2 linked regions of the Mus musculus genome follow. The protein of the gene in region 1 interacts with the protein of each later gene in a pairwise test. Links are inferred from orthologs where the notes say so. Each region holds a gene or a part of one and is shown on either strand. Other genes may lie near its edges.

What was found.
Region 2: the proteins of Mycbpap (region 1) and Mycbp interact in binary tests that used the Homo sapiens proteins (3 or more experiments, as listed by UniProt). The link is inferred for Mus musculus from reciprocal best matches to the Homo sapiens genes MYCBPAP and MYCBP.

What each region holds. Positions count from the first base shown.
Region 1 is NC_000077.6:94,511,394-94,515,203, forward strand, and holds part of Mycbpap (MYCBP-associated protein), read right to left. Parts: intron 3,263-3,810; coding exon 3,135-3,262; intron 2,549-3,134; coding exon 2,389-2,548; intron 2,229-2,388; coding exon 2,125-2,228; intron 1,385-2,124; coding exon 1,198-1,384; exon of another isoform or gene 951-1,197; coding exon 835-950; intron 374-834; coding exon 232-373; intron 1-231. UniProt on the Homo sapiens protein: May play a role in spermatogenesis. May be involved in synaptic processes.
Region 2 is NC_000070.6:123,903,397-123,908,006, reverse strand, and holds the start of Mycbp (C-Myc-binding protein), read right to left. Parts: upstream 2,995-4,610; 5' UTR 2,935-2,994; coding exon 2,920-2,934; exon of another isoform or gene 2,774-2,919; coding exon 2,701-2,773; exon of another isoform or gene 2,446-2,700; intron 1-2,445. UniProt on the Homo sapiens protein: May control the transcriptional activity of MYC. Stimulates the activation of E box-dependent transcription by MYC.

The sequences.
Region 1 (3,810 bases):
TGAAGCGACCACTGCTGATTTGTGCTAACTGAACTGCTGATATCCTGAGAAGGCCGATCGTATTCACATCAAAGAACTATTTCTGAACAGGTCCACATCCTCCTTTGCCCTATTAATCTTTCCTTTCCACTACCTCTGATGGGTGGTGGGCTGGAAGGGAGGTTAAAGCATTTAGGTACACTTACTAAAGTAGGTTTTGAAAAACATAAGCCTACAGGCCTTGCTTCTCACCAGTCTCCACTTGGATGGAGAGGGGCTTCCTGATGTGTGTGATGGGTTCCACCAGACCACGCTGAGTTTTCTTTTTGGTCATGAGAAGACCTGTCATCTCATCACCCAGGTATTCCAGTGGACTCCAGAACCAACTGGTTGCCTTAAAGTCAAGATGAGGACAGAGCAGTGAGGTCACCCCCTCAGTACCACAGTCAGAGACTCACTGGGGCATCCACTGGGTCCCACTGGAAGAAGAGTGGGCACTCAACAATGTTTTGTTCTCAAGATGCCAGAAAGATGGGATGATCTGGTCCCAGCCCAGGCACTCATTGATGTACCAAAACATGGCACAGTTCTTTGTCCTTGGTTAGACCAAAGATTGTAGTATAAACCTTTAGGAGACACACATGAAGACTCTTATAATAAACTGACTACCAGAGACCACCACAGGCTGAATTATTAAAAGTGAGTAGTTCTGGAAGATGAGATAAGGTAAGATCCCAGGGGGTTGATACTGCTTGGTAATAGACAGGCTATCTTCTCCCCAACTGTGTAACTGGAGACAAGCTGGCACTGGTCATCATGTGCATTCTGTGTGGTACTTGGGAACAGTGGCCTCACTTTTCCGTCATGCTGGGTGGGAAGTGCACGGTCAATGACCTCGCGCTCCTCCTGGATCTTCCTATAGCTCTCCCCGGTATGCATCAACAGCTCACTGGCTGGCTTCTTCAGGTGCTCTAGAGCGGGAGAGAAGGAAGGAAGACTGTGATCATGGTACCAAAAACAGAACACACAAGCTCTCGCACTCTGAATTGGGTGGCCCACTCCCTGCCTCATTTCAGAACCCACTGAGGCCTGAAAGCCAGAAGCTGTCATGGGGCAAATGCTAGTTAGTGGGAGTCTGGGCGGGTGAGAGAGAAGACACAGAAGAGCCTCTGTGCCTGATGGAGGGACCCTGGCAGGTCCCTAGTGGGCTCAGCTCACTGCTGAGAGCTTCCTGTTGCTTCTTCCGCAAGGCAATGTGCCGTCTCCAGTTCTTTAGGAAGTTGTGCTGAGGAGGTGGGGCCCATGGAGAAGGTCTCTCCTCCTCCTTGGGGGGCTTTGGCTTTGGCTCTTCTTTGGCTGAGATGAGGGTCATCAGGCAGGGCTGGATGTGAATCAGCTTAGCCAGCTGGAAAGAACAAGGGAGAGGAGGAGGTGCTGACCCAGGTTCTGGTTTCTGTCCAGCTCTAAGAACCTCTCCTCGTCAGGACCATAGGACGGGCAAGTGACAGAAAACAAACCAGGGCCTGAGGGATGCTGACAGTCCCCTCTGCCCAGAAAACTCAGCATCCTTCAGGGTAGCCGTCTTCTCCCCAATTGATGACTTCCTCCTGAGTAGCTGGGCCCTTAGTACCCTGCCTAACTGAAGTGAAGGCTCTAAGAGCTATGTGGCAGGAAGGAAGGTAACACGGGGACCAGTGGGGGTCATTTCCCTCCAGCCTGCACCTCAGCAATCCAGGCTCCAAAGAAGGGGAATGAGGAGCTGAGGCCAGAGCGCTACTTCGTTGTGGGGCTCAGTCTACCCAGAGTTTCACAAGGCAGGCTCTGAGTTCCTTCTAGTAAATCCCCACTCCACCTAGAGCTGTCTATTAGCGACTGGCTTCTAGGACTTGCAACTGCTTCCCAAGGGTCCCTTATCATCTAGGCCCAGAGACAGACCTAGCTCTAGAATCCTATCCCTGTACCCCCATCTACACACATACACACACACACACACACATACATACACACACACACACACACACACACACACACACACACACATACACACACACACACACACACATACACACACCCTTTGACTCTACAGAGAGTAAATGGCTTCGGCAACTTCTCTCAGCCACATAGCTCTCTATACAACAAACAAACCTGGGTGTTCCCTCGAGCAACCGCGATTCTTTTAAAGTCCTGGAGACTTCCCAAGATCTGGTGAGGGAGGATCTGGCCACTGCTTAAGAAGCTGTCATGAGGACCTGGGGGTGGGTGGGTGAAGGGGGAAGAGAGATGGAGAACCAGACGCTGTGAGCCACACACAGAGCAGCTGTTTGATGGACGGGGGTGGGGGGTGGGGGTTGGGGGGGGCGGGTTTTCAAGACCCATCAGGGAATGCAAAGTCTACAACAGAGCCCATACCGGAGTAGTCCAGAGGCTTGGTGGCGGCATCTGGAGTAGCAGGATGTGCTACCAAGTGGTAGACCCTTTTGCTAGAGTCTTTCGGTTTGAGCTTACGGATGATAAATTTCTGTGTGACCACAGGCTTTTCTCCTGTTTCTTCAAACTGAGGAACATGTTGCTAAAACAAAACAGAGCTGAGGAGAATGCGATCTGGGGAGAAGAGGAAGAACACACACACACACACCTCTGTTCTTGGTAGGATTCCTGAGGGCTGACTAGTCAGCTTTCCCAGATCCATCCATACATCCTGTCCTGGAAATGCCTGTGTGACAGACCTGAGATTTAGGAGTAAGCTGGAGGGGGATAAAATGACACCTGGCTTGTCCAGGCAGACTAAGTAAGAGCAACTGACAGGTAAGGGGAAGGGTTGGAGTTCAGCAGCCTCCTGCTCATTTTTATCTATGATGATCGAACTTATCTGCCCATCTATGGGATGGGCATGATAACAGTTGCCCCCAAGGTATCTCACTATTTTGTGGCTCTGGTAGAATCTCAGAAATGTGAAAACCTAACTTGCCATAAATTCTTTCAGATGCTAAAGGGAAAGAATTTATATTTGGTGTTTTTTGTTTGTTTGTTTGTTTGTTTTTTGTATTTTTGTTTTTGGCATGGTATTAGCGACTCCTTGGGATCCGGAAGCCAATGGAGAGGTGACCCGTGAACACGGCTGGGTGCTCTGTGCGATCCTTGGCCCTTGGCCTTACCTTCCTCAAGTCTTCCTTTTTAATGGCCAAGGCAAGAATGTCATCTCCTTGTAAGACATTGCTGACAGGCTCAGGCTCTTCCTGAATGGGGGGAGTGGGCTGTTCAGGTGCCTTCGCCCGCTTCTTTTCTGGAGAGAAGCAAAGAGATAGGTCCCAAGAGCTCTCTCGGCATATCTTTACTACAGACACAAGATAGGTTGAGAGCTCAGAACGCAACTGAGAGCTTGCCTACCAAGCATGTGCAGGTTAGTCACACCCTGAGTGCAATTTTTCCCAGCACAACAAACAATAGTGAGCCCTTGGTTCAAGTAAATAAATCTATATTAAACTGCATGGGGGGGGGGGGGCGGGGTCAAGACAGCCACCTGGACAGAACAGAACAGCAGAGGCTGTCCCAGGGGTCTGACGTGATAGGCGTTCTCTCCTACCGACTGCCCCTGGATTCCCTTAGCAATTGAATGGCTATAGTCAGAGCTGAAATAGAAATGTGGTCCCTTTCACACCGTGGCACTTTCAAGTCGGACGACATTACCTTGCGTCACACCGCTTCACTGTCTCTGTCCCTGCCTTCCACTTAACAAAAAGAAGAAGCTGGACTAAAAGAATTGCTCCCAACTGGTATGTCAATGATATCGTCACAATCTCCTGGGCACGGTCAATACAAATATAGCTTCCT
Region 2 (4,610 bases), on another chromosome or scaffold:
ATGGGATGATTGTGCTTTTTATCTGAAGAGAATGCAACCAAATCATATTCATTCCCTTTTGCTTTAGAAGCTAAATTTACTGTGACTAGTTACATAGAGGGGCAGGGGGCGGGGCGGTGGAAATCAGAGGACACGTTTCAGGAACCTATACCCTCCTACCATGTGAGTTTTGGGAATCAAACTCAGGTCCAGCCAGGCGTGGAGGCAGAGGCAGGCGGATTTCTGAGTTCGAGGCCAGCCTGGTCTACAAAGTGAGTTCCAGGACAGCCAGGGCTATCCAGAGAAACCCTGTCTCAAAAAACAAAAAAACAAAAAACAAACAAACTCAGGTCCATTTGGCTTGGCAGCAAGCACCTTCACCTGCTGAGCCTTCTTGCTGGCTCTTAGCAACTAGGTATTTAAAGCCAGGTATTTTAAAGTTTGCTACCCTGCTCAAAATAACTAAAATGCTATTTTATGCATTCACCTTCTTCATGGATGTTTTTGTCTTGAAGGTTGTTATTGTTCTGTTGTTGATGATTGGTTGGTTAAGTTTGGTTTGGTTTTTTTTTTTTTTTTTTTTTAAAGATGTAGTTTTACTCTTTAGCCAAGGCTGGTCTCAGATTCAATCAGTCCTCCTACTTCAGCTTGTCAAGTGCAATTAGAAATGAAACAAGATGTCTAGGTCTTCTGCATATGCCTCAAACCTTTGAGGCAAGGTCTCCCTCAGCCTCCAGCTTCCATCCTTTTACCTAGGCTAGCAGAATTATACACACCAAGACCCTGTCTGGCTTATTATGAGTGCTGGTACCTGAACTCTAGCCCTATAGTTGTGTATCAAGTAATCTTACCTCTAAGCCATCTCTCTAGCCTAGCTATAGTTTACTTTTTTTGGAACAGATCTTGATACATGCTCCAGGCAAGCAGTGAATGCAGATCTGTTTTCCCTCACCAGAGCACTAAAAACATGTCACCATGCCTGGCTTCTTACAATGTTTTCATGTTAGAAACAACTTTAAATCCTCTCTGAAATGTTGCTGAAAGAAAAATGTAAACTTGTATGAAACATCTCTGTTTGATCCTGTAAAATTTGGTTCCCATTCTCTTACACAGCCTGAAGGCTGCACATTGGCTCTGCATTCAGTTATCTACAATTGTACTCCATCTGCCTTTCAGTGTTCTTGCCTGTCAACCTCCTGCATCCATTTCATTCCACGACCCTACCACACAGATTATTTGGGACCAAAAGTGTATCAGTGTTTATCTCCAGAGGTTGAACTATCTACTCATACATAATGAGTGTTTTGGAGATGAGATCCAAGCCTAAACATGAAATTAATTTACATTCCATATAGACCTTATTCACATAATATAAACATGATCTTGAACAAGTACATATTCCTAGGCTCCTGAATTTTGACTGACATAATTTATGCAGTCAAGTATGGAACTTTCCACATCAATACTCAGTAAGTTACAAATCTGAGAGCAATTTAGATTTCAAAATTTCAGATTAAGGATACTTATCCGTACTGTTCAAGGTCTTCCCTCTGCCACTCCATGTAAAATGTCCCATCTTTATCCTTGCTATGGTTTAAGTTAGACATTTACCACTAGCTGGCACTAGTTTTAGTGTGTGTGTGTCCCTATCTAAGCTACAAGCTCCCAAAAGCAAGAACATTTCCATGGCTGTATCCCCTTGGTGCCCAGAACACACGGCTGGAGTAAAATCATTACATGAAAGAAACATGAGGGGTTTTTTTTAACAGAATTCCAAGCCATCTGTGACACTTCTGATGCCACAAACTACAGTGGTCTCACAGAGTAGTTCCTTATACTTTTGCTCACATTGACTTCCGATGACATAAGGAAATGAGTAGTAATTCTAACTTGTCAGTTCATCCATGTAAGAGAATTAAAAGCCCTGCTTTCTTCTAAGTTCTCCCAAATTTTCCCCTAGCTTTTGTTCCCTAAAAAGCAGATACAAATTATTTCCCAGACACTTCCTATTCTCAAAAGGACCAAGTTTTCAATCCCTGCCAGCCATTCCATTCTATTCCCTTGAAAACACCAAGCAATGTTGAGTTCTTACCATGTAGAAGGCATTCAATATACTGTTAAGGCCAGTTAGCTTTATTCTATGATTCCAACCACCATACTCTCTAGCCTTACACCCAGAAAGGAAGGGATACACTTTACGCTTCCATTGTTTTAAAGTAAAGAATATAGCTGTTTTTATGTGCTCTGAAGCACTTTTCAAATTGTAATTCCACTTTAATTATGATATCTACACAAAGTAGGAATTACTATAGGCTAAAAGAGTTGAAAAGCCACAGCCCAAACTGTCTATGAATCTCCAGCTTCGGGGACTAGAGCCATTTAATAACCCACTTTCAAATCCAGTCATTTTCTTAGTTGCCTTTGTCCAAAAGAAAAATTTGTAAAATCCCGCACACTATACGGCAGGGAGCAACTGGGATCTCAAGGTCTTGCTAACGTGTCCACTGCGGCTGCTCGCGGGAAAGCAACGGAAGTTGGAGAGACTTTGCAACAGCTGCAAGAGTTTCAGTCCGGGGCAGAGAGCGACCACCGGGGCGAGGCGAAGTCCCGCGGCCGGCGTGCGCCCGACCCACGGGACCCCAAGGCCTCGCTGCTCCCGGGGCGGGCCCCACCTGGCCAAGAGCGCGCGGACGTGGGCTGCAGCCGCCCGCCTCGGCTCACCTTTCGTCAGCGTGTCCAGCACCCCCGACTTCTCCAAGTACCTCCGGAACTGCTCGCGCTTCGAGTCGGCGGCCTGAGGAGACACGGCGGGTCAGGGACCGGAGCCCGGGGCCGGAGCAGGAAGACGGCGCGCCCCGCCGCCGGCCCCAAGCCCTGCACACGCCCCAACTCCCACCCGGCGCCGCCCGCACGCCCCGAGCCACGCCGCGCCCCCCTCACTTTGTAATGGGCCATAGTGACAGCCACAGCGGCGTAGCTGGCGCCGGAGACACGGGCAGGCGGGCTCCAAGCCTCACTGCTCATGCGCGGAACGGCGCGCGCGTCTGCGCACTGGGCAGGCACGGGCCGGGGCCACCGGGGTGTGGCCTGTTTTCATGGCGACCGGGACGCTGTGTATCCCTGTCTCCTCGGAGCCTAGAGAGGCTGCGTGAGCCCGCCCTCCGCGGTTCCGGGCAGTCTCGCGTCTTCCTGTTCCGGTTGCCGCGGCGATTCGGTTGCCTAGCAAGAGGCGAGGTTTAGGTAAAGCCAGGCGAACGACCTGTGGGGCCCTGGATGGGTGTGGCCAGGAGTTAGAGGCTCCTGATGTAGTATCTCCCCACGTGTTAGTGGGCGCGCACTCCTTGTCATTTGGGTCTTTGGTGAGGAACAGACCAATGCCGTGTTTCTTGGCTCAGAAAAATACCCAGCACCAGGAAAAAGTTCAAGGTCACCCTCAGCTAAATAAAGAATCTCTTTTGGGCTTGTTCAGGGCTTGCTTGTAATCATTAAGCCCCGTGATATTTGCAGATAACTGCTGGCTGGTAGAAAACTTATCTCTACAGCAATGTTGGATTAGGGCAATGACCTCTGAAGTGGTTCTTTTCTCTGCCTTTGTCATTAGTTTCCTTTTTTTTTTTTTTATACCCCCTTAGTGGTTAACATTAAGTTCTTTTCCATATATATTATGCGTGTTTTTATGTTGAAAATAATTATAGGTAGTACTAAGTGTGTATGTCTCTCTAAGGAGATTTCTAAGTGCAGAAGAGGGCCCTTTAATGAATTTGTAGTTGTGCCTGCTACTTGGCTAGATTTTGTTTTGATCTCTCTATATAGAAGTCATTCTATTCACTAGGCGCTGGTGGCACACGAATTTAATCTCAGTGCAAGAAAAGTGGAGACCATCCTGAGTTCGAAGCCATTCTGGTCCAAGATGGTCAGGGCTACACAGAAACCCTGTCTCCAAAACAAAGAATTCATTGTAGTCTTGTTTTAATGTAAGGCCCTACCCCCACCTTATCTTTTTGAAATCCAGTGGATTTTTTTTTTTCCAGGAGTTGGGGAAGAGTATTCATGCCGTGGTGCAGTTGGAGATCGGAAGACTCATAGGACTTGCTCTCCTTCCACCGTTAGTCTCAGTAATTGCATTAAGGTTGTCAGGCTTGACAACGAGTGCCTTTACCACCAAGTCATCTTACTGCTCCCTAGCTGCAAAGTTTCTAGACTATCTAAGAAAAGCAAAACGATGGCTCTATGTTGCACAAATAATGAAAATACTGTCTTTTCTGTTGGTCTTGAGAAAAAAACATATTTGGTTATGAGAAGCCACAGAACTTAAACTCATGTTGAAAGAACTTATGAACCCAGCTTCAACCACAAACTGAATGAAAAAGTGCAAAGCAGAGTCCCCTGGTGGGTGGTGCTTGCCTTGCCTCCCTTTGTTCCTGTTGGCAATGCCCTTCCTCCCTCCCATCTCTGCTCTAAGGCATTCGAGACTCATCCAGTTTTTTTAGTTGAGCTTTTTGGGAATTTTACATGGAGTGGGGATGGGGAGGCGTTGTGTTATTGTTTTGAGGCAGGGTCTCACCATGTGTGAACTCCCAACTCCACCCCAGGAACCTGGATTTTTTTCTTCTTCTTTCTTGGGACTTCCT